3 linked regions of the Elephas maximus indicus genome follow. The protein of the gene in region 1 interacts with the protein of each later gene in a pairwise test. Links are inferred from orthologs where the notes say so. Each region holds a gene or a part of one and is shown in the gene's direction. Other genes may lie near its edges.

Evidence for each region.
Region 2: the proteins of HAP1 (region 1) and HMOX2 interact in a two-hybrid assay, tested with the Homo sapiens proteins (2 studies listed by BioGRID and IntAct). The link is inferred for Elephas maximus indicus from reciprocal best matches to the Homo sapiens genes HAP1 and HMOX2.
Region 3: the proteins of HAP1 (region 1) and TAF1D interact in a two-hybrid assay, tested with the Homo sapiens proteins (2 studies listed by BioGRID and IntAct). The link is inferred for Elephas maximus indicus from reciprocal best matches to the Homo sapiens genes HAP1 and TAF1D.

The regions. Positions count from the first base shown.
Region 1 is NC_064837.1:48,767,335-48,777,352, reverse strand, and holds the start of HAP1 (huntingtin-associated protein 1), read left to right. Parts: upstream 1-5,459; 5' UTR 5,460-5,468; coding exon 5,469-5,934; intron 5,935-8,098; coding exon 8,099-8,178; intron 8,179-8,496; coding exon 8,497-8,613; intron 8,614-8,738; coding exon 8,739-8,929; intron 8,930-9,136; coding exon 9,137-9,236; intron 9,237-9,313; coding exon 9,314-9,380; intron 9,381-10,018. UniProt on the Homo sapiens protein: Originally identified as neuronal protein that specifically associates with HTT/huntingtin and the binding is enhanced by an expanded polyglutamine repeat within HTT possibly affecting HAP1 interaction properties.
Region 2 is NC_064830.1:62,537,923-62,548,049, forward strand, and holds the start of HMOX2 (heme oxygenase 2), read left to right. Parts: upstream 1-5,503; 5' UTR 5,504-5,565; intron 5,566-5,624; exon of another isoform or gene 5,625-5,649; intron 5,650-10,127.
Region 3 is NC_064825.1:27,236,097-27,246,125, forward strand, and holds the start of TAF1D (TATA box-binding protein-associated factor RNA polymerase I subunit D), read left to right. Parts: upstream 1-6,249; 5' UTR 6,250-6,353; intron 6,354-6,365; exon of another isoform or gene 6,366-6,675; intron 6,676-8,502; 5' UTR 8,503-8,581; coding exon 8,582-8,646; intron 8,647-9,387; coding exon 9,388-9,772; intron 9,773-10,029. Other genes in the region: C7H11orf54 (ester hydrolase C11orf54 homolog), read right to left, coding at 1,844-1,898. UniProt on the Homo sapiens protein: Component of the transcription factor SL1/TIF-IB complex, which is involved in the assembly of the PIC (preinitiation complex) during RNA polymerase I-dependent transcription.

The DNA.
Region 1 (10,018 bases):
GAGAGGCAGTGACTACTGACACTGATCATACCCATCACTGAGTGAGCTTTCTTTGTGTCCGGCTCTGCGCTAAGTGATTTCCTCATTACAGCCTTGTAGTTGGAGATATTTTACTTTACGTTTTACTTTTGCGGTAGAGGAAATTCAAGTGATGGCCTATCAACGCTATGAGTCAGAACTGACGTGACGGCAACAGGCAGTGGGCAGTGCCTACTAAGTCTGCTGTTTTTCACAATTATATTAACAGCAGTTTCCATTTGTTGAGCCCTCATTATGTGCTGTTTTTCAGCACAATCTCAGCCCCACAGCCCTGTCAGGTGTGTAAAATGAAGGTAAATTATACAGGACAAGTCCTGGAGACTCAGGTGAGTGTCAGAGCTTGGGTTTGAACCCAGAATGCCTGACTCTAAATCCCAAAACACTTTACTTCCCAGCCCCAAGGTTGGGATCCTGAGTTGAGCCTGCCTGAGGTCGTGGCCCCACTGGTAACCCTGGGCTGGCCTGGAGTGTCCCAGATAAAATCAGTGAGGATGGGTGGTCTGGAAAAGAGCAAATGAGCAGAAGACCTATTAGATGTCCTCAGAGCACAAGAGTACAGCCTTATTCTGGGGGTCCCCAGAGGGGAGAACTGGAAACTAGGAAGTGGGATTGGGCATAGGGGTGAGTATTACAAAGAGGAAGATTTTTGCTCAAAGCAGCAGTCTGAAAGAAGACTTTTCTAGAATGAAGGCTACTAAAAGTATTTAAGCAAGGACTCGAGGGCCAGCTGGTGGGAAGGCTAGGGGAGAGATTCCTCCACTTATTGGGAAAAAGGGCTCCATGGTAGGGCTGATGAAGTCACCCAAGGCCTCCCAGTGGGCCCTTGGGAGCAGGGGTGGCATTGGGACACCTGCGGTAATGTTCCTATGCCTGGAATGGCCGGGAGTGCCTGGAATCACACCTGTTCCTCCAGGAGTGGTTAAGGAGCTAACAGCCCTCAAGGTCCAGCTCACAGCCCTCTCTCCTCCCCACCCCCCAGCGGATTTAACCCTTCCCTCTCCGTGCATGCACACAGCACTATGTAGACCCTGTGCTAGCAGGGCCCTTGCTGGGAGGGCTGTTTGTGTCTGTCTTCTGCACTAATAACAGTTACTGCTGTTGATGGAGCACTTAAAATGGAACTGCACGGTGACCTCATTTGTCCTCAAACCAACCCTGTGAGGTAGGTGCTTTTATGCCCATTTCACACACAGAGAAACTAAGCTCAGCAAGGCAGGGCTGCATGCTGGAGTCAAGCTAGTAAATGACAAGTGGCAGGTTGGGATTTGAACCCAGTCCGTTCTTGGTCTTTCCATTATGTTGTTGTTGTTGTTAGCTGTCATTAATGGTATGAAGCACTGACCGGTCCAGTGCCATCCCAGTGATGGGTTGCAGATTGGGCTCTTGTGATCCACATAGGGTTTTCATTGGCTGATTTTCAGAAGTAGATGGCCAGGCCCTTCTTCCCTACTTAGCCTCTTGTGGGTTGAGGGAGTTGTGTGGGATGGGGATGTGGGTTGGCATTGCCCTCTGGTGGTGTCAGCCAGAGTTGCCTGGTGCCAATGCCGTGACCCGGAGGTGAACTGGAGGCCCACCAGCTCCTCCAGATTTATCCACCTCTTCTCCACCCTACGTCCTTCTTCACCCCAAACTTCTCAGAGGGCCTTAGGGCTGCTTTCTCATAGGACAGTGACAATTCAATTCAGCAAACATATATTCAGCAGGAATTTAATAGGCTCCTACTGTATGCCCAGGTCTGTGCTTGATGCTGGGGCTGCAGAGATGTATGTACAAGACACAGTGAGATGATCCACGAGGCTGCGCTGGAGGCTGGAGCGGAGCCACTCAGAAGAGTCCTGGAGCTGCAGCCTAGATTTATATATACAGTAGCCCCAAACTGGAAACAATCCAGATATCCATCAAGGGGAGAACAGATAAGTAAATTGTGGTATACCCATATAATGGGATCCAAACTAAAAAAACCAAACTCATTGCCACTGAGTCGTTTCTGACTCTTAGTGCCCCTCTAGGACTGGGTAGAACTGCCCCATAAGGTTTCCAAGGCTGTAAACCTTTAGGGAAGCGGACTGCCATATCTTTCTCCAGACAAAGGGCTAGTACTCAGCAACACAAAGGAATAAAATTACTGAATCATGTAAAACATGCATAAATCTCAAAAATACTATACTAAGTAGAAGAAGCCACATACAAAAAAGAAGTATATGCTATGTGATTGCATTTAAATGAAATGCTGGGGAAGCCAGCACAGCTTGTCCAAGGCAAGGTCATGGAAGCTCCACAGACACATCCAAACTCCTTGAAGGATGGAATTACTGGGCTGAGGGCTGTGGGGTCCATGGTCTCAGGGAACAGCTAGCTCAGTTGGCATAACATAGTTTATAAAGAAAATGTTCTAACTTCTACTCTGGTAAGTAGTGTCTGGGGTCTGAAAAGCCTGTGAGCAGCCATCTAAGATACTCTGTTGGTCTCACTCCATTGGGAGCAGGGGAGAATGAAGAGAACCAAAGACACAAAGGACTAATGGACCACAACTACTACAGCCTCCACCAGACTGAGTCCAGTACAACTAGGTGGTGCCTTGCTATCACCACTGACTGCTCTGACAGGGATCACAGTAGAGGGTCCCAGACAGAACTGGAGACAAATGTAGAACAAAATTCTAACTCAAAAAAAAAAACAAACAAAAAACCAAACTTACTGGTCTGACAGAGACTGGAGAAACCCCAAGAGTATGGCCCCTGGAAACACTTTTAACTCAGTACTAAAGTCACTCTTGAGGTTCACCCTTCAGCCAAAGATTAGATAGGCTCATAAAACAAAATGAGACTGAATGGGCACACCAGCCCAAAGGCAAAGATGAGAAGGCTGGAGGGGGCAGGAAAACTGGTAACGGGGAACCTAAGATCAAGAAGGGGAGAGTGTTGACATGTTGTAGGGTTGGCAACCAATGTCATAAAACAATATATATATATATTGTTTAATGAGAAGCTAGTTTGCTCTGTAAACCTTCATCAAAAGTACAATAAAAAAAAATTGGGTGAAGTAGAACAATAGCAGAACGGGAAAAATTATGGGTCAAAGGCCTGGAATGGGAGACTCAGAAGAAATAAAGTGAGCCCTTTCTGGAGCCTGAAGTTGGAGACTGGATTATTGCCAGGACTGTGGAGAGAGACACATACTCAAAACAGCTAGGCTGGCCACCGTCTTTGATCAGGGCAGTGCTGTTTCCAACTCTGCCAGCCAAGAGATTTGGCTGCTATGCAGTGTGCACGCTGCCTTTGTTTTCTAAGATGGAGATTAAGTTTCTAGCAGCAAGATTTCAACCCATAATTTTTCCCATTCCACTTTACCCACATTTAAAAAAATTTGAGTCCCTTCAGGTATCACTTTGTTGTCCATGACTAAACCAGGCAGAACTGGTTCGAAGCCCTGCTTCTGGGTGTGAGAAACTGACTGGAAGGGGGCAAAAAGAAACATTCCGGTTGATGGAAACATTCCGTCTTGATATGCATTTGTTGAAACTGACTGAACAGTTCATTTAACATCTGAGGATTTCACTGCTCGTAAAGTTTACCTCATTTTAAGAGATGGCAAAGATCCTGGTCATACACAAATGTGGGCATGGATGGATGAGGTAACGTGATATGAAATGGCTAAAGATGTGTGCTGAAGTGACTCTAACACAAAATTATATTTACACATCAATGATTGTAGCACATTGCAACAGTCTCCTACAGACCTCCCTGCTTCCACTTTTGCCCCCTTAACTCTAAACTCCAAGAGAACAGGGGTCAGTTTCTCTCATTCCCTGCTCTAACCCAACAGTCTAGCACAGTGCCTGGCATATATAGCAGGCACTCAACACATATTTTTGTCAAATGAATGAATGAAACTACCTAGAAGAAAACATTCTTATGTTTCACCAGCTAGGGAACTGGCAGAAGGGACAGTTGGATCCTCCTTCCTGGGTCATGTCTCTTGTTCCATACTGTGTCATGGACACCTGGCCCCAAAAGCACATTGTCAAGTGCTAGAAGTCCCAGGCACAGGCCATGGGCAACAACCCCTGTTCTGGGTTTAGGCTAGGAGTGGGGGCTGTGTGTAGGGGCACCTGGAATTCCCTAGCTCAGATAGAAGTATGAGAGATAGATTTACTCTCCTCAGGGCAACCACGAAGGGCATGTCACAATAATCTCAGAAGAAAGGCTGAGGCCTCAACTTGGAAAACAGTGGAAGGGCTGAAAAGGAGAGGGCACATCTGAGAAATATTTAGGAGGTAAACTGAGCAGAAGGAGCCCGGTTAACCTCTCGGCTGCTAACTGAAAGTTTGGTGGTTTGAACCCACCCAACAGCTCTGTGGAAGAAAGACCTGGGCATCTGCTTCCATAAAGATTACAACCCAGAAAACCCTATGGGTCAGTTCTACTCTGTCACATGGTGTTACTATGAGCCGGAATTGAATTGAGGGCACCTAACAACAACAACAACAAATTCAGCAGAACTTGGTGAGTGATTAGGAGCTGAGGAGAAGGAAACGAGGGCACCAAGAATGACCCCACGACTTGAAAAGAATCAGGGCCACGGCCCTCTCTTTTCGGCCTGTAGGTTCCTCCCATCCAAAGGCACAGACATAGCCACTGGACTCCTCTGAGGTTCCACAGTTCATTTAGCACCTGCCTGGGCTTCAGGTCCTGTGCTGCGTACCTAGGACACGGTTTCCGCCCTGAGGGGGCGCAGGCCTTGTCCTGGAGACAGACACGGATCACTACAGGGGTCAGGGGAATCTTCACAAGAAGGGGACGTTAAAGCTGGGTCACTCGGAAGAACAGGTGTTTGCCCAGTTGACAAGAGGTGGGAAAAGGGAAGTAGAAGGCAAAGCACGAGGAAAGAATATGACGCGCCAGGCTGGGCAGGGAGTTGAAAGCCGGCCTGGAGATTGGATTTCTCTCTCAGTCAACGGGAAAAGACAAACCACTGCTCTCACAGGTCGCCCCAGACCATATTTAAAGAGTTGCGTTGGCTGGTGGATGGGTGGAAACACATCAGGGAAGGCAACTGAAAACCCCCTTGGTGGGAGTGGATTTCGAGCCCCTACTGGCGACCCGCGCCAGTCGCTGTACCCGAGTCCCAGGGAAGAGGGGGGCTTTGGGCGGAACCATTCTCCAAAGGTGGAGAGGGGGGAGAAATCCTTTTCTCCGACCCCCAAGCCCGTGGAACCAGCTGAAACCCTCGCTCGACTCTTCCTCGTGCCCTTTTTTCCTGATTTCTTCCATCCGTTCTGGCACGGTCACCCCCACCGCTCCACCCCCGTCCCTAGCACCACTGGTTGCTCTTCGGCGTCCCCTCCCAGCGTGTGGTACGGCCCGGCGGCCGCCGCTCCAGACACAGTTTATAAAGTCCCGGCTGCTGCAGCCGACTGCGGACTCAGGATGCGCCCGCACGACCCCGAGCAGGCCTGCGCCGGGGAAGGCCCCGGTTCCGCGGATCCAGACGCAGGTGCCCCTGCACCCCAGCCCGAAGCCAGCCCCGATCCAGAGCCCTCGGCCGAGACCGACCCCGCTCCGGCGCAGGAACCCGGGGCTGGACCCGCAGCCGGAGCAGCCTCCGAGTCCCGACCCAGGTCGAGACCCCCAGCCGGTGCTCGCCCGGCCTCCGAGGCGGGAGCCCCGCGCGCGTCCTCATTCTCGGCCATCCAGGGGGATGTCCAGTCCGTGCCCGGACACTCGGACGCGCCGTGGACCCGCTTCATATTCCAAGGGTCCTTTGGTGCCGGGTCTGCCGGCCTGGGGACTGAGAAGGCGGCGGGCATCTGGAAGACGCCAGCTGCCTATATCGGCCGGCGGCCCGGGGTGTCCGGCCCCCAGCGCGCCGCCTTCGTTCGGGAGCTGGAGGAAGGTAAACGGGGTCCCCGGGACCCTGTAGCGGGTAGGACGAGAGCAGCTCCAGGGAGGAGGGGTCTGGATCGGGGCCAGGCGCCCCGCCTCCTCTGCCACTCAGTCCCACCCCTGCACCCACTCTTGCGATGTCACTGTCTGCGGTGCCTGTCTGGTGGCCCTTTCCCCATCTCCTCCTCCCCCTTCTAGCATCCCTGATGGCGGAGTGTCGCTGAGGTACAGGGCCCCGCCCCCCCCGCCCGCCTGTTGCCGCGGCGCATCTGCGCACTGTTGTTGCCCCCTCCCCAGTCTACCGCAGTGCCAGGAGAGAGGCGGGGGGCTGCGGAGGCGCTGCCGGCGAGCTCTGAGCCTGCGCTGGCCGCTGCGCTCACCAGAGAGGGGGTGGTGGGTGGATAGAGGGGGAGGTTTTGCCACCCTCTTGGCTTCCAGGGTCAAGGGCGGGCTTTTCCCCCAGCCCGGGGGTGGGCGGGGCATAGGGTCTCCTCTTTTCTCTCTTCTTCCACTGGGGTAGGGGGAGGTCTGTGAATTGGGGCCCTTTAGGCTCAGGTCCCCCCTCCTCCAGTGCTATAGAAAAGTCCCTTCCTTCTCTCCTCCCCCCACAAACAGGTGCGGGGTGGGTGACTGCGCAAACCTCACTGTTTTTATGACCCACAAGGCTCCAATGGGCTGGCCAAGGTTGCCCTGGGGCCCGGGGGTGATGAATCAGTCTTCCGGCTGTCTCTTCCCAGCTGCCTCCGTTCTCCTGGGTGCCAGGACCCAGGCGTCCTGAGAGCCCACTTCCACCTGAGCGTGGTGGACTGTGATCCCCTTCCCCAACCCCAGTGGTGTCACTAGGGCGGCGGGGAGGGGGGTGTGGACCAAATGACACTGTCAGCGGGGGTGACACCAAAATGTCTACAGAATTTTTGTGCAGTGTTTCAGCAAAAATTATTATTTTTTATAAAAATATCCCTGTAGTGAAGTCAGCACAACTGGACTAAACCAAAAGCTAAGAAGTTTCCTGAACACAACCAAACACTTCTAGGGACACTGTAGAAGGGGCAGGGGTCTGGGGACCATGGTTCCAGGGGACATCTAGGTCAATTGACATAACAAAATTTATTAAGAAAATGTTCTGCGTTCCACTTTGGTGAGTGGTGTCTGGGGTCTTAAAAGCTGGGGAGCAGCCATCTAAGATGTGTCGATTGGTCCCAATCTACCTGAAGCAAAGAAGAATGAAGAACACCAAAGACACAAGGAATATATTAGTGCAAGAGACAGAAAGGGCCACATAAACCAGAGACTCCATCAGCCTGAGACCATGAGAGCTAGATGGTGCCTGGCTACCACTAATGACCACCCTGACAGGGAACACAACAGAGTCCCTGACTGAGCAGGAGAAAAGTGCCGTGCAGAACTCAAAATTCTAGTAGAAAGACCCGACTTAATGATCTGACTGAAACGGGAGGAACCCCAGAAGACATGGCCCCTGGACTCTCTGTTAACCCAGAATTAAAACTATTCCTGAAACCAACCAATAAAGATTAGACTGGACTATAAGACTTTTTTTTTTTTTTTTATAAGACATAAAATGATACTTGTGGAAAAAAAAACAAATTCGCTGTAGTTAGTTATCACAATGAAAATATTTTTTGTAAAAAAATAAAAATGTTTTTCGTAAGCCCAGCTTACGTGTATCAATACGCCTACAAAGACTAAAACTCTATGCTAATTTACTTTTTGAAACTTCTAATTCTGCTTTGGTTAGAGCTGTAATTATTACCCAATTACAATGATGGCTTCAAATCACGTGGTTTCGTCTGCATGCGCTCAGTGCTGTTGTTTTCCGTTGCTACCAATGTTTTTATAGTTGCTGCTTTTGTCAATTTTCCTGGTGTTTTAGCTAAAATATTGTAGTAATTAGCATGGGGGGGGTGACAGGATGAGTTACTGCCTTGGGTAACCCCAACCCTAGTGACGCCATTGCCCCACCCAGGCCTCTCCAGAAAAAATGATGCTCAGTCTGGGAGTGCTGAGTACTGAGGGGTGAGGGGAGGTTATTGGGAGGCAGGTAGGGAACAGCCTGCTGGCCTTGTTGAGGGAAAACTAGAGATAGGACAGGAAGGAATGGATTATGGTGGGGGGGCACTTGTAGACTTTTCTCACCATCCTGCCTTCTCCTACAGTGCTGTGTTCTGACCGACCCCCACCACTTAAGAAGATCACCCAGGAAGATGTCGAAGTGATGTTAACTTTGCTGGAGGAGGTGTGTGCTGCCTTCCCTTCCCAGGCTAGCCCCTGGCCCTCATTTTGATTCTGTCCTGTGGGGTAGGGGTCCAGGCTGAAAGAGCTCTTAGAGCCAAGCTAGTCTGATCTGTTCTTTTTCTATAAGGGGAAACTGAGTCAGGTTCCACAGTGGGTTAATGGCAGACCCTGATTAGTGTCTGGAGAACTAGGGAATGGAGAGGGTTTCCCCTTGTGGCCTAGCCTCTCTCTGACCCCTGTGCCCCCCAGCTTCTCCCACCTGTCTGGGAGATCCTGGGAACCAGGAAAGTATTCCTCATGGGTGATGGTCCCTCTGCAGAGAGAGCGGGACCTGAGTACAGCGGCTCGCATTGGCCAGTCCCTGGTGAAACAGAACAGTGCTCTGATGGAGGAGAACAGCAAGCTGGAAGCCATGCTGGGCTCAGCCAGGAAGGAGGTAATGGGTGGAGGGTAGGAGGGAGGGGTATGCAGTCTCAGACCTACCTATTGTCCCCTCATGCCAGGACCTGGCCTCCTGCCCTGCCTGCTGCCCAACTCAGGGCTCCTCTCCCCTCCTGCCAGATTTTACACCTCAGACACCAGGTGAGCTTGCGGGATGACCTCCTTCAGCTCTACTCAGACTCTGATGATGAGGAAGAAGAGGAGGAGGAAGAAGAGGAGGACGAAGAAGAGGAGGAGGAGGAAGAGGAAGAGGAGGAAGAGGAGGGAGAGGAAGAGCAGCAGTGTGATTATTCCCATGACACCCCCAAGCCGTGAGTGTCCTGCATTTGCACCTGGATGGTCCCTTCTCTGAGCCTATTTTCCCATTTGTAAATAGGCATACAGCCAGTGTGCCTGCCAGCAGTGTTGCTGGGATGAATTGGACTGCCACACTTAGCATAGGTGGGGAATCCCTCGGTGGGTTGGGAACTGGGTACCCCTACTCCGTGCACGCTGACTCCCGTCACTCCCTCCCCTAGGATTCCTCTGAAGGAGTCGCAGCACCACTGCCCACAGCTGGAAGCCTTGCAGCAGAAGCTGAGGCTGTTGGAGGAGGAGAATAATCAGCTGAGAGAGGAGGTGAGGATGGGGGAGGGGGGCCCCCCATGGGTGGAGAAGGTTGACACCCATACCCCTTCCTTTCTCCCTGCCTCCAGGCCACCCAGCTCGACAACCTGGAGGAGGAGGAGCAGATGCTTATTCTGGAATGTGTGGAGCAGTTTTGTACGTGATGTTATAACCTGGGGGAGGGACTGTTCCCTAGGTGTGGAGGGAAGGACTCAGAAGTTGGAATCTGGAGACCTAAGTTCAAGTCCTAGCTCTGGCTCTTTCTATCTGTGCGAGCTTAGGCAACTTCCTTGACCTCTCTGAACCTCACTCGCTTCATCTTTAAAATGGGCACTCATTATCTTGGGTCTGGGCTCTGCTGACCTCTCCAGGGGTTACAAGAATCAAGCAAAGCAACAGCTGAATAACTGCTTTGTGCAAATTGTAAAATGCTAAACAGAAGCTCTGGTGTTCTCTGATAGCCCCTACTGCTATTTGGGGTGAGGGGAGGGAGGAGGCTGAAAGTGAGGAAAGAATGAAGCCAAGAGCTGCCAGAGACCTGGCTCCCTGAGGCAGTGGGACAGGGGGCAGTTCAGAATCATGCATTAGGCAGTGGTCGGGCACGGCTCTGTCCTAGCCACTGTGAGTGAGGGAGGTGCAACATTTGTCCCTGGGAAGCTCAGGTCTAACTGGGAGCTGCAGACCTAAGGTGGCAGCGGCTAAACTCATGCTGTTCCCTCACCCCAGCCTGATCTTCCTTCCCTGGGTTCCTCAGTTCCCTGAATAACCCCGCTAGCCCTCAGGCCTGGAATAGG
Region 2 (10,127 bases), on another chromosome or scaffold:
GTCACCTTGTAGCTAAATAACATATTGGCTTAAAAAATAATGAACATCACCCGTAAGTACTGTGCTCGTTTTTAAAATCACATATATGAGACCAAATGGTCAACAATTATTTTAAAACAAAGATGAGAATGTAAGGGGGCGGGGAAACTAGATTAATGGGAATGGAACAACCAGATGGAAGTAATGAGAACGTTCAAGCATTGTGAAGAATGTAACCAAGATCACAGAACAATTTGTGTAGAAATTGTTGAATGGGCATCTAAATTGCTGTGTCAACCTTCATCAAAACACAATAAAATATTATTTAAAACAAAAAAAAAGTGAAACCAAACTAAAACTGTCTGTTTGACTTTATAGTCCTGTGATAGAGAGAACCTACAAGGTATTGTCTATTTTATTTATGTAAAATATCGATCTTTATTTATTATAAAATGCATGCACTGTATTATTTTAATAAGCATGCATTTATGTTTACTTATATTTGTATTTATAAATGAAGGTAACATTTATTTGTTTTTATCTTGTGTATATCCCTTGTACCTGTACCTGTTACAGTCAATTCCAACTCATAGCAACCCTATAAGACAGAGTAGAACTACCCCATAGAGTTTCCAAGGAGTGCCTAGTGAATTCGAACTGCCAGCCTTTTGGTTAGCTCTTAACCACTGCCCCACCAGGTTTTCCTTATCCCTTGTAGTCTCCTCCATACCATAGTATGTCATGCCTCTGTGCTTAGACCACCACCTAACTTCTACTCATTCTTCAGAATTCCATATAAGCATCTCCTCCTCCAGGAAGCCCTCCCTGACCCCTAGTCTGGGCTGGTACCATGTCTTGTTTGTCTCTGTACTTCTACCTCCCAGTACATTGTCCAGCACATAGTAGGAATTCAGTAAATACCTAGTCAATGGTAAAAAAAAAAAAAAAATGAAGTACAAATCAATCTGATAAAAGATGAGGTTTTAAGACAGGGAATAGAGAGCCCCCCAAATCTGCAAACAAAGTAACAAGAAATGGGCCAGGGTGCAGAAACAAAGCCATTCCCCAGAACAATGGGGCAGGGTATCAGAAAATAGCCCATAAACCTTAAAGTAGTCTTTCAGAAGCAGCTGGAGAAAACCAGCCCCAGGGACATGTGCAGAACATCCACCTGTGACCACTGTGTGACCTTCCACCAGGGGCAGTGAAGGGCTGCAGTGGCAGCCAGGAGACTGCGCAGGCGCGGCGCCCCATAGTAAGTCCTGCTACGAATCCCAGAGGCCTCCAGGGCAGCAGCCACCTTGGAAAGTTGCTGCCCGCGCGCTGTAGTTAACATAACCCTGGGTATGCCTGTGAATAAACATAAATCTTTTCCCGCCCAAGAACTTTTAAAAACCCCGGGCGGATCTTTTGTTCTGTGAGATGGGGATATGGGTTGCTTAGGCCCGCCTGTCTTCTACTTGCAAGCCTCTTCAATAAAGCTTTGCTCCTGTGGAAAACTCTACGTGCCTCACAGAGACGGAAGAGATCAGGCTGGCTGAATTAAATGAGGGGTACGTTTCAAGGCCCTGTGTGGTGCTCGACCAGCTATAATTAAATCTAAACCTAAGTGCAGACTACCAGATAACTTCTATTGCTGGCACCCAAGAACTACTTGTGATTAACAAACTAGGTGCTTAGACAAGATAAGGGGCTACATTTCAAGCCCCTGTGTTCTTGACCAGCTATAAATTACTGATAATTCTCCTCAGTTGTTTTTCAAGGCCTCACTAGGTGCAGCGCATGCATGGTAAAGATCGGCGTGGGCTATGAATGACCTTCCACGTAAGACAAACACGAACAAAGACCACTCGCTGGGGCTCGAACCAAGATCCAGGGGCATCATGCATGCACGACATCCCAGAATAAGTCCTGTTCGACATCCCAACAGCCTTTGTGACAGCCTCCATCTTGGTTCCAGCAACCTCTGTCAGGAAGTCCATCTTGAATTCTAACTGCGTGCGCATTTGATTTTCATAATCCCTCCCCTTCTCCTGGAAATCTCCACTCATTTAATGAATAAAAGTAATGCCTTTTCCCCTCCTAAGAACTTTTATAAGTCCTAGGAAATCGTTTGTTCAGTGAGAGACTGGAGGCTAGTGTAGGTGGAAACCCCTCTCCTTCTCTCTCCTTCATGAGCCTTTTACTTTCTTTCTGTCCCTAATAAACTTTTTTCATGTGGAACCTCTGAGGCTCTCCTGGTCATTCTTGCTCAGAAGAAGGTAAGAACCTAGGCAGGGCTTAGTCCTGGGCTGGGAAGCCTTGCCCTGTAACATTACCTGCTCATTCTTGACCAGAGAGGCAAGAACCTTATTCTGGTAACAGTTTTTCTTCAGCTGCATGGAGTTAAACCACAAAATCCAAAGTTCCCAGGCCTCTGTTTTAAGGAAATAAATCCAAACAAGAAGGTCCCCAGCAGGACCAGCAACTAATTTGCGGGGCCCACTGCTAAATGGAAATGAAATGCCCTTGTTAAAAAATGATTGAGAATTTCAAGATGGCAACAGCAAAGCATTAAACCAAGCTTAAAGTTCTTCTGAGCATGAGACCCAGTTTAATTGCCTAGGTTACATGCCCATGTTTAATTAAGAGTAAAATTCCAGGGCCGCGTCAGGACCAGAGCAACCCCAGTGCCTTCTGGCCTTGCTGAACCTGAAGCTTAGAAATCAGGACAGGCAAAAAGTGGCTTACCCTTGGCTGCCAGCCAGTGGTGCTGGTGCCCAGAGACTTTCCAGAAGTGGGCTGGCAGCTTGACAGGCTGGGGCAAAGGTCTTGCCTTTTGAAGCCTGATATGGATTGAATTGTGTTCCCCAAAATATGTGTTGTAAATCCTAACCCCTACTTTGATTATAATCCCATTTGCGGATGAGTTCTTTGTTATGTTAACAAAACTAGATTATTGTAGGGTGTGTCTTGAGTCAATCTCTTTTCAGATATAAAAGAGATTAAACAAGTGAACAAGCAGAGATGTAGGAAGACAGATGCCAAGCCACATGAAGATTGCCCAGGAGTAAAAGCTGAAAAGAGTCAGGGAACTTCTCCCAGAGCTGACAGAGAAGGAAGTTCTCCTAGAGCCGGCACCCTGAATTTGAACTTCTAGTCTCCTAACTGTGAGAAAATAAATTTTTGTTTGTTAAAGCCATCCACTTGTATTTCTGTTGTAGCAGCACTAGGTAACTAAGACAAGGCCCCAAGCAGCCCACGACCCACAACCCAGAGACATGAGGGGAGAGATTAGCTACTGGCTGGTGCACCCTATCATGATTCAGCACTTTCTGTGTGACTTTGTATCTGACAAAGGACTTCAGTGGCATACACTCATGATAACAGTGGGAGCCCTTGACTGGGGTTGTGCGAGTGGCAGGCATAAGCTAAGCCCCACATTATCTCATTTGAACTCTCACAGCAACTGCTCCTTCAATCACTGCCATTCAGCTTAATTCAATTTTATGTGGCCAGAGTAGGGAAAAGAGGGAAGTGCAGAATGTACTTCCTTTTCTTAAAATCTATTTTTTTATAGCCAAGTAATACATAACGCATTTATGCATTCTCATTAAAAAATTTAAATGGTATATGTAAAGCAAAAGTGGACTTTGACCTCTCTGTCATTTTAGTGTGTAAACGTTCTGGGGTTTTTGGATGTATTTATATACCTACACATGAACATGTAGAAATATATAATAATTTCATAGACTCAAAAGAGAGAGAGAGAGATCAACCTGTTTTACTGTGCTAGTGCTGCCCCGAGTGGGTGGCTTTAAAGAACAGAAATTTATTGTCTCACAGTTTTGGAGGCTAGAAGCCTAAATCAGAACATTGGATTTAGGGGAGGGTCTTTCCTTGTGGGTAATCCCAGGCATTTCTTGGCTGATTGTAAATGTGTCTGTCTTCCCTTTCTGTGTATCTCTGTGTCCCCTCTGCTTTTTATAAGACACCACTCAGAAGGGATCTGGTATGACCTCATTAAAAACAAAAGAAAGCCTCTATTTCTAAACAGGATCATGTTTCAAGTATAGGGGTTAGTGTGGAAGATGTTTCTTTTGGGGAGGACACAATTCAATCCATATCAATACTGAGTGTATTTTCCAAAAAAATTTATTGAAAACTTGTAAGTACAGTATAGAGAAAAGTGGAAAGAGCTGTGCAGCGAGCACCTGTATACCTACCACTTACATTTTTTTAATTTTTAAAATTTTGCTATATTTGTTTTATCAGATATCTTTTTCCATCTAACCATCTATCAACCATCTAATCTTTTGATGCATTTCCAAGTAAGTTGCAGGCGCTAGTACTCTTTGCCCTTAAAAACTTTATCATTCACATCATTAACTAGTGTTCAATAATTTTTTAGTTTAATTTATGTGCTGTGGAATCTATTGAATGTATTTTCCTACGACTTTTTTTTTCCTTCCTCTTTTCTACTTTATGTTTGAAGAGTTTTCCATGTCCTCACTACGTGAGGTCTGCCCCCCCTCTTTAAATTGTGGCACAACTTATTTGTTGAATGGATGACCACTGCCAACTCTCTCATCCTTTTTTGATGGACATTTAGGTTGTTCCAAAATTTTCATAAAAATGGAGTCTCTTATTATGTTTTGTAATGACCCTTCTTTGTTACTTTCTTGGAGTTCTTGCAAGTATTCCTCTAGGATAGCTGCCTAGAAGCGGGTCAAAGAGTGTGCACATTCTAAATTTTAACAGATCTTGTCAAATTGTTCTCTCCATCTCCAATAACTCCTACGAACAGCATGTAGGAGGTTTGCCAAAGCTGAATATTGCATCTTTTAATCTGTATGCTGACTGATGGTTAAGGAAATAAGTGGAAGTCAGTATGGCTGGAGCAGAAAGGGCAGGTGGAGGGAAGGTCAGGTGAGTCTGAAGAGGTGGTGGCATGGTCTAGCCAGGGGGAGGAGAACTGTAGACCATGGCTGGGATTTTGACCTTTGTCCTAAGAGCGATGGGGAACTGTGGAAGGGTTTTAGCAAGAGGGGAGGAGTAATGCTCTGATTTTGACTTTTAAAAGATCACCTTGGTTGCTGTTTGGAGAATGAGGCAAGGCCGACGCTGGGAGACCAGATAGAAGGCTGGTGGCAGAGGAGATGTAGAGAAGCGTGCAGAGTCGAGGAATACGTTTGCAGCAGGGCCGCATAGAACTGAAGGATTGAACTGGCAAAAGGAAAAGAGGATGGTGTTTAAGGTTGACGACTCGATTTCTTGCATAACTGGATGGATCTAATAGCATTAAATGAGATTGGGCAAGCAAAGCGCGTAGCCCAGAGGCGTCTTCATAAACATTTGCTCTTATTAATAATGTTAGCATTCTTTCTGAAGCATCCCTATTTCCACAGCCAAACCAGGGCTGCGTGTCCGGTTCCTGGCAAACGGCCCCTCAGGGGGCGTATCCTTCCCACGCCCCGCCCCACGCAGCACAGGCTCCACAGACCCCGCCCCCACGCGCTGCGTGTACACGTCCGACCGCCCCCAAGCTCGCGCTCTCGGCTTCGGCGGCGGTGCCACTGACGGACCGGCGCAGTGCACCCGTGGCTGGTGAGTGGCTCACGTCCTCCAAGGCCTTCCTCCCGGGCTCATCCGGCCGCGTTACCCCCACGGCGGGCCCTGACCTCCGCCCGGGTACTGCCCTCCGCTGCGTTCCTGGTGCGGCGCCGGGGTTCGGGGGCAACCAACGGCGAGAGAAGGGCCGGCCCGGGGCGCTGCGGGGTGGGGGGCAGCCGGAAGCGGGGTGACGCTGGGGACGGGGCCAAGGAGTGGAACCGGGGGACAGGGACGGGCGTGGGGAAAGTGACAGGTAAGGGTGAAAGCTGGAGACGCCGCTTTCAAGAGGATATTTCAGCAGGGAGGTAGGAAGGCCTGATGGGCTCATTTGGGCCCACTCCCTCCCAATATCACGAGGGTGCTTGGTGAGGTGACCCCGTGGGTCGCAGCTTCGGGCCGGCTGTAAAATTGGCGCTGCAGCTTCTGACCGCCAGCCTGGCTTGGTCCATCGGTTTTTGGGCCTGGGAGGACCGGACCCTCGCGCACGTCGGAGATTGGTGCCCGGCGTGGGGCCTTGTGCTGACCATTGGCATTCCCTGGGGGGGGTAAGCCCTTTTACTGACTCACAGTCGGAAGTGGTGCCCTTTGAATCACTATCATGACTTCTACGCGATTGAGAGGGATCAGCTCTAGGGGCAGCTGGTTAATCTGGACGAGGAGTTTACCTGTCACGTCAGAAGCACAGGTGTAATAATTTCCTTGTAGAAGCTGCCAGGACTGCCTTGCACAGTCTTTGCACAAGACCTGTGTGTTTCAGGCCATTTGAAATGATTCTAATGAACTAGTTATTTTGGTCTGTGGCTGTGTATCCTCACTGTGGTGTCTTGATACCTAAACCAGACAATGTGGAGTGTGATTAAAAAAGGCAGTGTTATAGTGCCCTATAGTTTATGACGCTTTCTCAAAGATTTTCATTGGCCCCTTTCAACAACCCTGGGAGTTTTTCCACTTGTGAAATGAAAGTTATGATGAGATTCAGATTATGTGACTTAACCTAGATCCCACAACCAAGAGATTGGCCCAGATGTTCTTGAACCTGGTCATCTGCCTCCAGATTTGGTGCTCTTTCTTTAAATATGATTGTTAAGATTGGAAGTGGATTATGTTATTTAAGCGATTTTACCCCTCCTGCTAAACTGTCCTCTCCAGTAAAAGGAAACATTAGCTTACTGTTTTGTGTATTTTAATTTCTGGTATGGCTTTACCCTGTGTTTGTGTCTATGTGTGTGTGTTTGTTTGATAATTTTAACTCCCTTATAACAATTTCCATTTCTCCTTCTGTGGGATAGGGGTAGGGGAAGATAAGGAGTATGTTAGGAAGTCTGTGGTTTGTTGATGAGATTTTTTCCAAGAAGCATCATAAGATATAATCTTTGGTTACCAGGAGTTCACAGTTCTTAAGGGCATTTACAAGTTTATCTAGTGAAACTGGAAAGAGTTTTAAAAAATAGTACCTAAGCTAAAAAACTGGTGAGGGTATGGGAATTCAAAGGACCTTGGAAATACACAGTCATTAAATGAATGAGCTCATTAACCGGGGATGTGAAGATGGAAATCCTGTGGTTCCCCATTGTCCACTTGATTTCCTTTGCTTGCTCAATAAAGAGATGCTGTGAGTTCCCAGTGTCAGGAATATGAGCTACTGTAGAAGTGACTATGCCAACAAGAAAATGAATTATAGAAAGTAAAGTGCTTATTACCTTTAGCTTACCCCTCAAGCCCATTGAAGAATTGCAGAACTGGACAGCTAGGACCTTTGGGCTACCGCTGATATATATATATTTTTTAATAATTTTTATTGTGCTTTAAGTGAAAGTTTACAAATCAATGATTTTTTTTTTTTTGGTTTACTTTTAAAAGCTCACTTTTTGTAGGACTGTTGGGCTCTGTATCAGGATTGCACCAAATATTGGAATAGCATTCCTCTACAAGTAAGATCTTTTTGGAAATTGGAATTGTATGTTTTGGTGTAAAATTTAGAATTCAGATTGTAACTTCTGGGAGAGAAAACAGAGGAAAACTTGAACTGCAGATTATCTCCTTGTATATTATTGGCCATTGAAACCAAAAACCAAACCTTTTGCTGTCGAGTCGATTCTGACTCATAGCGACCCTATTCGATAGAATAGAACTGTCCCACAGGGTTTTCAGGGAGTACCTGGTGGATTTGAACTGCGGACCTTTTGGTTAGCAGCCCTAGCTCTTAACCACTGCGCCACCAGAGTTTCCGTTATTGGCCATAGTTAACTCAAAAGTTATAGACACCTTTTTTCTGTTATTCTGTGTTTAACACAGTGAAGATTATCTGCTTTTAAACTTAGCTTATTTATGATATCTAGTAGCTTTGTTTTGTGCAGAACCATAGGATAAAAGCTCTGTTTCTTTTGTTGTAATCTGAGTAATTTCTCAGGATATTTTTGCACTGCTGGGAAACAGTGCCATTACCCATTAATTTTTGCCAGCAACAAGTGAGAGATGAATCTTTAATTGGAATTGTTGAGATAACTGCTTGTATAGAGGTCTTCCCTTTTTTTGTACTGGAAGGCATTTCATTTTGGTGATCACTCTGATAGTAATATTGTCCACTGTACAGTTTACTTTTCTAAATCAACTCCACATATTTATTGTAAGGTGTTGTCTTCCATTTTGTGACACTTTTTAAAGTCAGCTAATAAAGGCAGCTGAGTCAATCAGAAGTTTTCTTATAAAATTTCTAATAAATTTGACACAAGTACTGAAATACGGCAGCCCGTAACTGATGGGCTGGTCTAACAATGTTAAATGTATTTACAGAATATGCAGTGACATTTATTAATGTATTTTGCAAGAAATCTTTTCTGAACCATCAGTGTGTTTTAGTTAGAGAACAGTAATGCTGTTGGAGTTTGTCATAAATAGTTTAAAGCGTACAGCTATTGTAAAGTGGATTCATTTACAAACAGCCCGTCAAAAGACTATCTAAAGTGTGATCATGGCCTACTGAAGAGGAGATGGGAACTCTTTCTGGGTCTTCATGTCAACCACATCTGTATTCAGATCCTCCTCACTCAGCAATGTTCTGCACTGTTAACTAGGTAGTTCAAATCAGGAATTAAATTCTGTAGGCTTTTCTCAGCAAATAGGTTTCAGTGTCGTTTTGATATAATTCTAGAAGACTTTTAGCGAACATGCATTTGTTTATATGATACATTTTAGGCAAGTATTTTAAAAGTAAGCTAAGTGCTGTCTAGTCTGCTTATGGAGTAGGGATTGGGTCAGATTTTTAAAAATTTTTCTTGAGTATCTGACTTTAGAGTTTACAGATGGACTGGCTTTTTACATATACTCCAAAATGATTGAATTGTGAAGTACGCAATTAAGCTAGTTAATCAGTTTGTAACATTTTTTTCTCAATCACAAACAGCTATTCAGTACTAGACATTTTGCTTTATATGTGCATGTACATATTATTTATTTAGAAAGAGTGAAAAATAATTGGTTTGTTTCCTAAAAGGAAAAAAAAAAGAGAAGTTTGGCAATTCATCTTTGACCATGAGAAAAGCCTTTAAACCTTTTGAGCCTCAGTTTCTGTATCTGAAATATGAGGTTAATACTTGGTATCCCCTAAAGTCTTTGGAGCCTCTGAGTGCTATTAATTGATATAAGATAGCGGTTTCCAAACACTTCTGTTTCAGAAAGTTTGGGATTGGGCCTGAGAATCTATATTTTTTAAGTTTCCCAGGGATTCTTGTTTGGGTCCCCCTTGTCAAGAGCACAGAAGAGGGAATGGACTGGCAACAAGGGCAGAGAAGAGAAACGAATAGAATACATGAGTAAAGGAACAGCAGAAGAGGAAAGAGGTGATTGTTGTATAGTGACAACTGTGCAGTCAGCTTTTATGCTACAGGCCAAGCAGGGGGATATTCCTTTCTCTGCTTAGGAAAAAATTTTTTTTTGTCACAGAAATAGATTTGTTTCCTTCCTAGGAGTATCATAGCCCTAAATATTGTCATAGTCCTAAGTAACTTTAAAAGATCTTGTTGGGGGTAGGTATGTCTTGCACCTCACCATCCTGACTTTTTCTAAATATTCCAGCTTCATGCCTTTCTTCTGGTCAGATCTCTCAGCCTTGGAAAACTCAAAATTCTCTATTTCCTGTATTCAGTCCCGTATTTACATGAGGGCCTTTAGTGTAAGGCGCTGTGCTGAGGGCTGTGGGAAGGTGCTAGTGTGATTAAAACAACCTGCCATCATGATTTTAGTTAATAGACTTGGGTAACTTGCCTCATCAGTAGCTGTTTGTGGTGATCATACTTTGTAAGTCAAACATTGGGACCCATGGTCTGAGAGTACAAATGTACTGAAGGAGTTGATGGGACAGGATATTTGAAATCAGAACTGCCCCAGAGAATCTGGAATGTAAGACTCTAACTTCAGCACTGTTCGTACTGTACAGTTAATATTTATAGTATGGTGCGCTTACCTTGTCATGTTGTTTATCTTTCTATTTTTCCACCTCTCCCTTCCTCTAGATTTCAAGCTACTTGAAATCCAGAGCAAGGTCTTACCCCTTTTTG
Region 3 (10,029 bases), on another chromosome or scaffold:
GAAATGTAAAAAAATAAGCACAGGTGTCTCAAAGTTATAAACCTAAGAACAATGTACTTTATGTACAAACAGTCTTACAAAAATTTTCTGATAGAAGGACCAGCCATTATTGTTTATTCTTCTTTTCTAAATTTTATTTTGTTGTTGTTGAGAATATACACAGCAAAACATACACCAATTCAACAATTTCTGTATGTACAATTTAGTGACGCTGATTACTTTCTTTGAGTTGTGCAACCTTTCTCACCCTCCTTTTCTGAGTTGTTCCTCCCTTATTAACATAAACCCACTGCCTGGTAAGATTCCTATGTAATCCTTCAAGTTGCTGTTGTTAATTTGATCCCATATAGATAATTGTTAAATGAGCATAATGCTCAAGGCGGACCTTTTTTTACTAGTTATACTACCATTCAGTTTTAGGATAACTTTAGGGGACATTTTGGGTTTAAGGACATTATGGTTTATTGTTTTGGAATTACACACTCTAAAAACACAAAGTTATCCTAAATCTAGCCATATAAACATTCCATATCAGATCTTTTGGAGCCCTGGTGGCACAGTAATTAAGAGCTAGGCTGCTAACCAAAAGGTTCGCAGTTTGAATTCACCAGCTACTCCTTCGAAACCCTATGGGGCAGGCAGTTCTACTCTGTCTTACAGGGTTGCTATGAGTTGGAATCGACTCAATGGCAATGGGTTTGATTTTTTTTGACCAGATCTTTTATCTGTATGAGAATAGGAACCAAAATGAAAAATCCCCCTATCAATACAATAACTGTAAATTAATGAATATATAAATTAAGATTCAGGGTGTAGAAAATAGTAAAATCTATTTTTACCAATTACAAAGGGACCATGTTCTTGCTATAAGATATTCTTGCTATAAGATATTCTGAAATACTGAAAGTCGAAAATAAATTTTGAGCCAAAAAACTTGTATTACATATTTTGTACTGAATATATCCTACACATATAGAAGGAAAATAAACCATAAACATGCAGGAGAAGTAAGTGGCAGAAAGGCACTCAAAGAGAAGATTTGTATCACAATCCAGCTGTCCTACTGTATCGGGAAGGCAGAAAGACTGATAGAAAAGAAATACAGGTAAAAAACACTAATAATACAGATTGTTCACTAGCTGCTGATAAATTTAAGGAAAAAAACAGGCAGGCTCTAAGAAAAAAGCCACAACCAAGCAAAAGATAAGTATACTTTTTGACTTCAACCTCTTCAGGACAGATACACTTTGAGCAATAAGGGTAGGCTTTATAGTTACCATCAGAATAGAACCTAATGGCTCAAAAAAAAAAAAGCGTCGACATTGTGACAGGCCATGCAGTTTTGAATTAGAACTATTCCTGGCTTCACTTTCCATCTGTATTCATATTTTCCTTTTCTTATCTATCTTTCCTCCTTCAATGTGTTATCTTGAAAAAAGCTGCTTTAAATTCTTGTTTGAACAAGGTGATACACATAAAAGTATACTTCAGAGAGAAATCTAAGGAAGTTCGTTGTCAGTCTGTCACATGAGGAGAAGGGGAAAAAAAGTACTATATTGGGAACATGGTTAGTATGCAATAATAGATTATATATTCGAATATTGTAACTGGTAAAATGATAATAAAACACAAAATTGTACAACTCTTTGGGTATCGCACACATTTAAAACTTAGATTACTATGGTTATTTTCTTCCTGTAAAACTGGGATCTTACCAAGAATCTATAAATGGTGAATTTTTGCTCTAACAGCTTTTTTTTTTGCCGGGGGGAGGTTAGACTTTTTGAATAGAAATAGTACAGAATAGACACGGAAAAGGACAACGAGTTTCTATTGTATTTACCTCCAGCCAGCTCCTCCAGGCTTGGCACATGAAAAGGAGACTCGACACAAGCCATTTTCTTTCTTCTTTAGGTGTAAGGTTGTACAGATAAAGCTACTGCAGGCTAATTCTCACGAGAGTCCACAGTGCACCAAACATGAACAGCTGCTGATCTGGAATTGAACACTCAGAGTTTAGTTATTAAAAGAGGACAAAAGGGCATTTAGGTTTCTGTTCATACAGAAAGGCAACCATATCTCTTAACACTTTATTCTCACAAGCAACTCTTTATTAATACTGATATTTTAAGTCATTTTAAACAGACTGGGAAGGGGAAACTCCAAACCAAGAGATCACATGTGATTCATTTTTTTTAGTCATACACAAAGATTGACATGCGATTTAATGGTTGGTGTAAGGAATACAGGTCCTGAAGCAAAAGGTACTGGCAAATATTTCTATAATAGATGATTGGTGTGTTCTACTCTACATTTGACATTTAGGTTAAAAATTCAGTTCCTTAGAGTATCACTTTTACAAAAGAAAATCTAAAGTACTAAAAGAGATGGAAACTTCTAGAAATAATCAGCTTTTGAAATTCAAATTTTTACTTTCATTTACAAATATACGTTTTATAGTAAGCAGGTTTTTGTTCAATTATTCTGATAATCTTTAACCAATTATAATTTGGTATTTTAAAAATATATGCTAAGTGCATGTACCAATAAATAGGCATACATAAAAACATACACAGCGATTAATACCTTACCTCAAGGGTTCACATGATGAGGAGGTGTACCAGCAGAGGGAGATAAAATGAAGCCAAAAAAGACTCCACAAACAACAGACGCAATATGAAGTGGGCGGGTAATCCTACACTAGGCCAGTCACGACAAGGAATAAGAAAAAAAAACCCTTATGGGAGTTTCTAAGAGCACTGTTGTTCTTGTTAAAATTGTTAATAAAACACTTCATTAACTGGATTAGCCTCTGACTTTAACAAGCTTACTTAGCAAGTGAAAGGTTGGCCCCCCAACATCACTTGAAAAAAAAAAAAATTTTTTTTTTAATTCCCCAAAGATTCACAGGTTTCCTAGAAACTGGGTTTCTAGTTTTGATCATTTTTGACAAGTATTTTCTATAAACATAGTACTGCATACATTTAGCACTTAGTGCTTTATCATTTACCAGCTTTTATTTATGAGGATAATAAAAGCACTCAATATCTTTGTTTGCAGTAGAAATTACTCAAATGAAAATTCAAATATAATCCTAATTTTATACCCTTTACTAACTCTAGAAGGTCAGTTTTTTATTTCCCCACCCAAACAAAGTCCAACCCTGCAAGGCTACAGCCTGAATGATTGATTTAGAAATGTACAACTTCAGACAGGCCAACAGTTAGCACAGAAGGCAGTGTGGTAGTAGTATGTGTGTGTACATGTGTGTGAGGGCAGGGGGTTGTTAGGGTTTGAGTGATGAGAGCTAGGGGGTTAGAAAGGTCTTAATATAAATTCATAAAGGCTCCAAGAGGAAAGCCTTGGAGCAGATGTAGGCAAACAATATTTACCCTCCCAATACAATTCGTTGGAGTTAATGGCCCAGAAATTGAGTTTAGAATAGGGAATAGAAATAGGAGGCAGTTGGGTAAGTCAGGTTGCAGAAAGAACACCCCAAAAGGGTAGACCAACTATGGCAACCAAGCTACCATTTACTGAGCGCAGCCTTATACCAGACATTCTCTCAAAACCTCTCACGACCATGACAGGGAGGTATTATGTTTCTCATTTCACAAAAGAGAAAATAGGTCAGAGAGGATGTATTATTTATCTAAGTTCACTAAGTTGGCAAATGGCAGAAACAGAATTCCAGGTCTAGCCCACTATAAAACCAGAACTCATGACACTGTTCCACGCTGGTTAACTGGTGAAGGACTGATACATTTCAGCTGAAAATAAGGAATAATCTGTACAGAGTTATCCTATAGCACTCAAAGTATTATCTATGTACATCTGTTTGCTTGCTCTCTTTTCCATAGTTTGTGATCTGAAGATAGGATTATGTTTCTCATATCTGTATTCCAAGTACCTAGCATACATTGGGGGCCCTGGTGGCACAGTGGTTAAGCACTTGGCTGCTAATCAAAAGACTGGCAATTCGAATCCATCAGCCACTCCTCGGAAACCCTATGAGACAGTTCCATTCTGTCCTATAGGGTCACTATGAGTTGGAATTCACTCTGCAGCAACAGGTTTGGGTTTTTTGTTTTTTTTTTTGTAGCATACAGCGGGCATTACATTCACAACACACCAGACTCATAAAGCTCTGGTACAGGGCCAGCTTCACTGGTGTGCAACTAGTGCAGTCACACAGGGCCATGCACTCAGAAAGGCACTTGGTTAAATGTTCTGCTGTCACCATCTTGAAATTTTTTTTTTTTAAATAATTTTGTCTTCGAACTTGGGTTTTGCAAATAAACTCCAAAGAGACAACAGGGTATGCACAGGAGCAGAGGAGAGCACTGCGACATGCATGCCCACCATGGGTCCTTGCCACCACTTTTGCAGACAGCATTTGTGATGTCCTGTTTTTTTATAAGCAGCAGAGAAGAGCCCTGATGGTACAGTGGTTAAGAGCTTGGCTGCTAACCAAAAGGTCTGCAGTTCAAATCCACCAGCCACTCCTTGGAAACCCTATAAGGCAGTTCTGCTCTGCCCTAGAGGCTTACTATAGTCAGAATACACTAGATTGGAAAGGGTTTGATTTTGGTTTTTATGAGCAGAGAGGATCCCTAGTTAAGTGTTCAGCTGCTAACCAAAAGGTGAGCAGTTTGAATCCACCAGCTGCTTCTCCAGAGAAAGATGTGGCTATTTGCTTTTGTAAAGATTTACATTCTTGGAAACCCTAAGGTGCAGTTCTACTCTGATAAATAGCATTGATAAGAGTTGGAATCATGGACCCAAGATGCATGGGAATTCAGTAAGCCTCAAAATCTTTGGCTTCCAGAGTGTTGGCAGAACGTGCAAGTATCAAGAACTGAAATAAAAACAGTTGAGTTAGCTTTACACAGCGTTTCTACTGTTCTAAGGTATTTCTTACTAGAACAAAACATACATTTGTATGAGCTATGAAATACAAATTTTGTGACGTTTCAGTGATTCTGCCTAAGAGTTAAATGTTATTAGATTTGTATTTAATACTGGCATTGCACAATATAAAGATAAATGATAAAATTCATGCCAACAATTTTAAATTTTTATTTTTCTTTACTTAGAATGGCATTACACAGCAAATAAAAAACATAACAAGTCGAGAGAGACCACGGAAGGAAAAGCTTTTTCCCTGCTTTTTGAACACGGGACCCTGCATTTTCATTTTGTACTGGGCCTCATAAATTCTATAGCCGGGTATGCTCCTTGAACAGGGCAGTGTATAAGACATGCATAGACTCCGTGGGTCAAATGCAGTGGGCTGCCTACAGAATCAGACTTTCTATACCTGAAGCTGTTCGATATCTGGCGCCAAATGGGGTAAAGAGACCAGATTACCCTTAAAGTTCTTTCTAATCCTGGGATGACGCTGACTATAAACGGAGACTAGACAACATCACTGCTTATACAAGAAAGCGGAAAATAATCAAACCGACTCATTCTTTTTTTAACTACTTTGTGGAAAAAAAATCAACTAGTTTAGCTGCTGTACCTTAAACACTCCGCAACCGGTCAAGGAACTTTTTTTTTCAGGGGAGGAGGGTGAGGGAACTGCAAAAAAAAAAAAATTCCTCCGCGGGTAACTCGTGGTATATTAACCAACTCCTGGGAGGCTGACCCTTAGTTTAGAAGGAATGGTGAGGCTAACAAAACGAATCTGAAGGTGTCTGGAGGGAAACTGGGTGTGCTATGGTGTAAGACTGGAGTCCAGGACAAAGGTTACACATTTCGATAACGGTCAAACCATGAACCTTTCCCAATATTTTAACACAGAACAGATATTTGAAGGCAAAAGTATTATGTCAAAAACTGCCAAAAAGGGATGCTTCACATTCCTGAACAGAAACCCAAACTCATCTGCCAACCTAGAATTCTACAGCTTGGCATGTAAGAAAAACACACACCATCCGGTACCAGGCTTTAGAAAGTCAGACGACAGCAGGGCGAATGCGATACCACCGGAAACAATTCACGGTTTTTTTCCTCGCAGTTCACATCCATTCCGCTCCTTTCGCCCACAATTTGTTTTTGCCGTTTGTCAAAATATTTTTGGCTACTGCACTTACCTAATTCGGTCTAGGAAGCCTCAACTTAATCTTCACCGTTCCCTCCGACAACCCCACCTCCTGACGTCACGACCTCAGGCTCCGCCTACTTCTTATCACACCTCCCCTGGCGTTGATCTAAATGGCTCCGGGGAGTCTCATCTCCTCCCACCTCTCGCTGTCGCCCGGGTGTCCAGTTGTATCGCGAGACTTCGGCCCCACTCTTAGGCGGGTCGCGCGATAGCTCTTCCCTTTCCTCCGAACGGTTGGAGAGAGGTAGGCCGTTTTCTGCGCGGTGCCGTGTTGGAGCGGGAGGCTGCTGGGTGCTAGGTACAGACTTCAGGGACACTTCCGCCGCGTCAACCCGAGGCTTCTGGCCCGAGGCCTGGGCTGAAGTGCTTACGGGCGTTTGCTTCCTACCAGTCTGGTGGGCGGGGGAGAGGCCGCTGATCTAGTTTTCCTCGGGACCACCGCGTAGTTTGGGGAAATCGAGCGCTGGAAATCAGGCCCTGAGGGTGGAGGGCTTCCCCGGGCCTAATGGCCGGACAGAGTCCCGAACAATCGCGGTTATCGCCTGTGGGCCTGTTTCGTTGGTCTGGTATGTAGCTGTTAAGATGTATGCCAAACGCCGGCATGTTTCTGACGCCAGTTTTTGGCGTGCGGTTAGGTGTTCCCGGAGGCCTAGCCGAAGGTCACCCGGTTGTGAGTGGTCGTGGGGGTGCTCTGTGTTAGATCTGGCCGAGCGCTCTAGCTTGCCACGTGGCTTCGAAGAACCGCAAAATCCCTGGATGGGAAGACAAGTACGAATGCTAGTTGAGCAGGTTCTGATAAAGTGACTTAAATTAGCTTTATTTTGGTGAGTGCTCGGTGTGTGTGTGTGTGTGTGTGTTTTAATTCCAGGTATACTGTCAGGGTCCATTGGATCCAAATTTTTGGGGTTTTGATTTGGAGCAGTTGGTACTTCATAGCTTATTAGCGGTTTTAGAATTTTGCATTTAAAAAATCTTTAAAAATTCTGTTTTGAGATTACCGCATGGGTCCGTTGGGCAGTTTCACAAGTTTCTAGATTGCAGCACTTATTGTTTCCCTAGACTTGGAACATTTTGCTGTTTTATCATGACAATTTATTGCATCGTTACGCAGTTTGTCGATTTCCAAGTACGCTGAAGACTTGTTCTTTGTTGCCATCTGAGACCCCATGTGTTCAGAGTAGAACTGTGCTCCCTGTGGTTTTCAGGCTCCTCTGGGTGGGTTTCTCCCACTATCCTTTTGGCTAGTAGAGCACTTGAGAGTTTGTCACCCAGGGACTCCTATGTGCTAAAATAATACAAAAATAGAATGATGGCATCCTGTAAGGAAGATGAGCTTAGGAAATCATCTTTCAGTTTTTCAATTGCATTATATGTGAAGTATTGTAAAATGACAAAAACCAAATCAAACTCATTTCGAATCCAGTCGATTCTGATTCATAACAATCCTATAGGACAGTAGAACTGCCTCGTTGAGTTTCCAAGGAGCGGCTGGTGGATTCGAACTGTCAGCCTTTTGGTTAGCAGCTGAGTTATTAACGGCTGCGCCACTAGGGCTCCACAAAAGACACTAAAACCCACTGCCATGGAGCCGATTCTGACTCCTAGCGACCCAGTAGGGTTTCCTGTAAATCTCTAGGAGGCTGACTGCTATGTCTTAATTCCGCAGAGCTACTGCTGGTTTCACACTGCCAATGTTTTGGTTAGCAGTTATCACCATAACCACTTCGCCACTAGGGCTCCTTCAGTAGTCTGTTTTAGCCTTTCATTGAAAGAAATGAAAATTCACAATTCTCAGTTTCTGTGCATGAAGACAACATGGGAACGTTTACCAAAAAAAGGTTTCATAATTACTTAATGTTAAGAGACCATAAGTGAAGTCCCAGACCAGATGTTGAAAATGGTGATGGAATCCAGGTGTAAATGGTGATGACTTTTTCCTGGTGTACTGAGGCCTATTGAACCACAGTCTACCTTCTGGCAGTTTTTCCTAGGAGTTCCTATCTATCTTGGGAAATAACCTTTTGGCTATTAATTGTATATTACTCATGGCTCCTGGTGAAATTACAGTTTTTATTGGTAATTAGAATGACGTTGGATGCTTTTGCTGGGAATGACAGTACTTTTCTGGATGGTATCTTGTACCATTGAATAGATTTGGAAAGACAGAATAGAACCTGTCAGTGCAATTTCTCATTTTTAGAGTTTGATGTGAAACTGTTTTCTAGATGAGAAGCTTTTAAAGGCCTGTTCAATCAAGTGATTGTGCCTAAATTCACAGCTAATGGTGTAAAGTACTTCAAAATTTCCGGTATTAAGATACTTGCTATCTATGTGCTGAAGTTTAGTGTTTATTCAGGGAAGCTATATCACATCTACTGAATTTATATTTTCAGAAATTTATCCCCTTAAAGCAAGGAACGGGTGATGGATAAAACAGTCTGACTTGAGGGACTTGGAGTATTTATCTAAGGAATGGATTCTCCCAGCTACACAATGACATCTGATTTAGCTACTGCTGTAGAAATTGAGGATCATAGGTAAGTCTGCATTTTTAGATCAACTGTTACTGTTTTAAACTGGAATATCTCAGCAGTAGATTCCATTAATGTTTACTGTATTCGAATTACCAGGAAAACAAATCGTTGTAGATATTAGTAGTGGTAAGAGTTAATTTTCAGAAATTAGGAAAGATGAAAGAAAAACTTGATTTACACAGACCTTCAAAATTAGATTAAATCTATGTGATTTTATTGAGTTATTACAACTACTTTGATTCAAAAGTATCTGACTTCCTGGATAAGTTGCCTCATTTTTTTATATCAAGTAAATGGACATCAGTGGAGAATGTTGCATAAAAATCAACCCATTAAGATATTCCACATAATGTAGAATGCTGACGTAAGTATATGAATTATGTGTTTAGTACTTCGTGAATTGTGGGGGCTCGTCAGCATTAGTATATTCTCATCAAATACTTGTCTGGTATGTCATATACACCCCCAGTTGGGGGTCCTGGTGGTGTAGTGGCTAAAAGCTCAGGCTGCTAACCAAAAGGTAGGCAGTTTGAATCCCCAGAGTTGTGTGGGCCATTTTATGTAGGGTGGTCAGAACTCAATGGCTAGGTTACCCTGGCCCCATCCCTGCCTCTTCCATTTTTTAGTGAAATTATACTGAGCATGTATCCCTGCTTTGGTCTTTGGGAGGAGTGTCTATTTGGGATAGGTTATTAATAATCGCATTCAGTAACATGAGGATGCAATTTTTTTCTTTATTTCTAGTGATAACTCTGAATCTTCTGGTAGCAGCTTATTTAAAACTCAGTGTGTTCCTTCCTCACCTAAGCGGAGGCAAGAAAACCCTCTAAGGACTTTTGTTCATTCATCTGAAAGTGTTCAGGCAAGAGATTCATCAAGCGATTCCTATGTGGAACCAAGACCGTTGACTTTAAAAGCAGTTTTTGAGAGATATAAGGAAAGGAAACGTAAAAAAAAGAGAAAATATAAGCCAACAGGAAGACCAAGGGGAAGACCAAAAGGAAGGAAAAGCACTAAAAGCTCACAAATAGACAAAAAACAATTAAAAAATAAAGGATCTGCTTTCCTGTTTTTAGAATCAGAGAATGGAAGAAACCCACTTCCTTGGAAAAAAATTTTAACCTTTGAGGTGAGTCAGCATTAAATATGTCTGTGCACATAGCTAAGGTTGTAGCTTAAAGTTTTTTTGGCCACTTTTAGAATTCTCTAAAGATATCTGGAGTATATTTTCCCTTCAGCTTTTTATGTGTTCATCCGATCTGTAGCTTTGATACTGTACTAACTACTTTTCCGCTCAAAGTATACTTATTCTTTAGCTACTTGATAAAATTGTCACTGAGGCTTCTGGGAGGAACCTTTGGTCTTATTTTCTCAGTGACCCTGGCA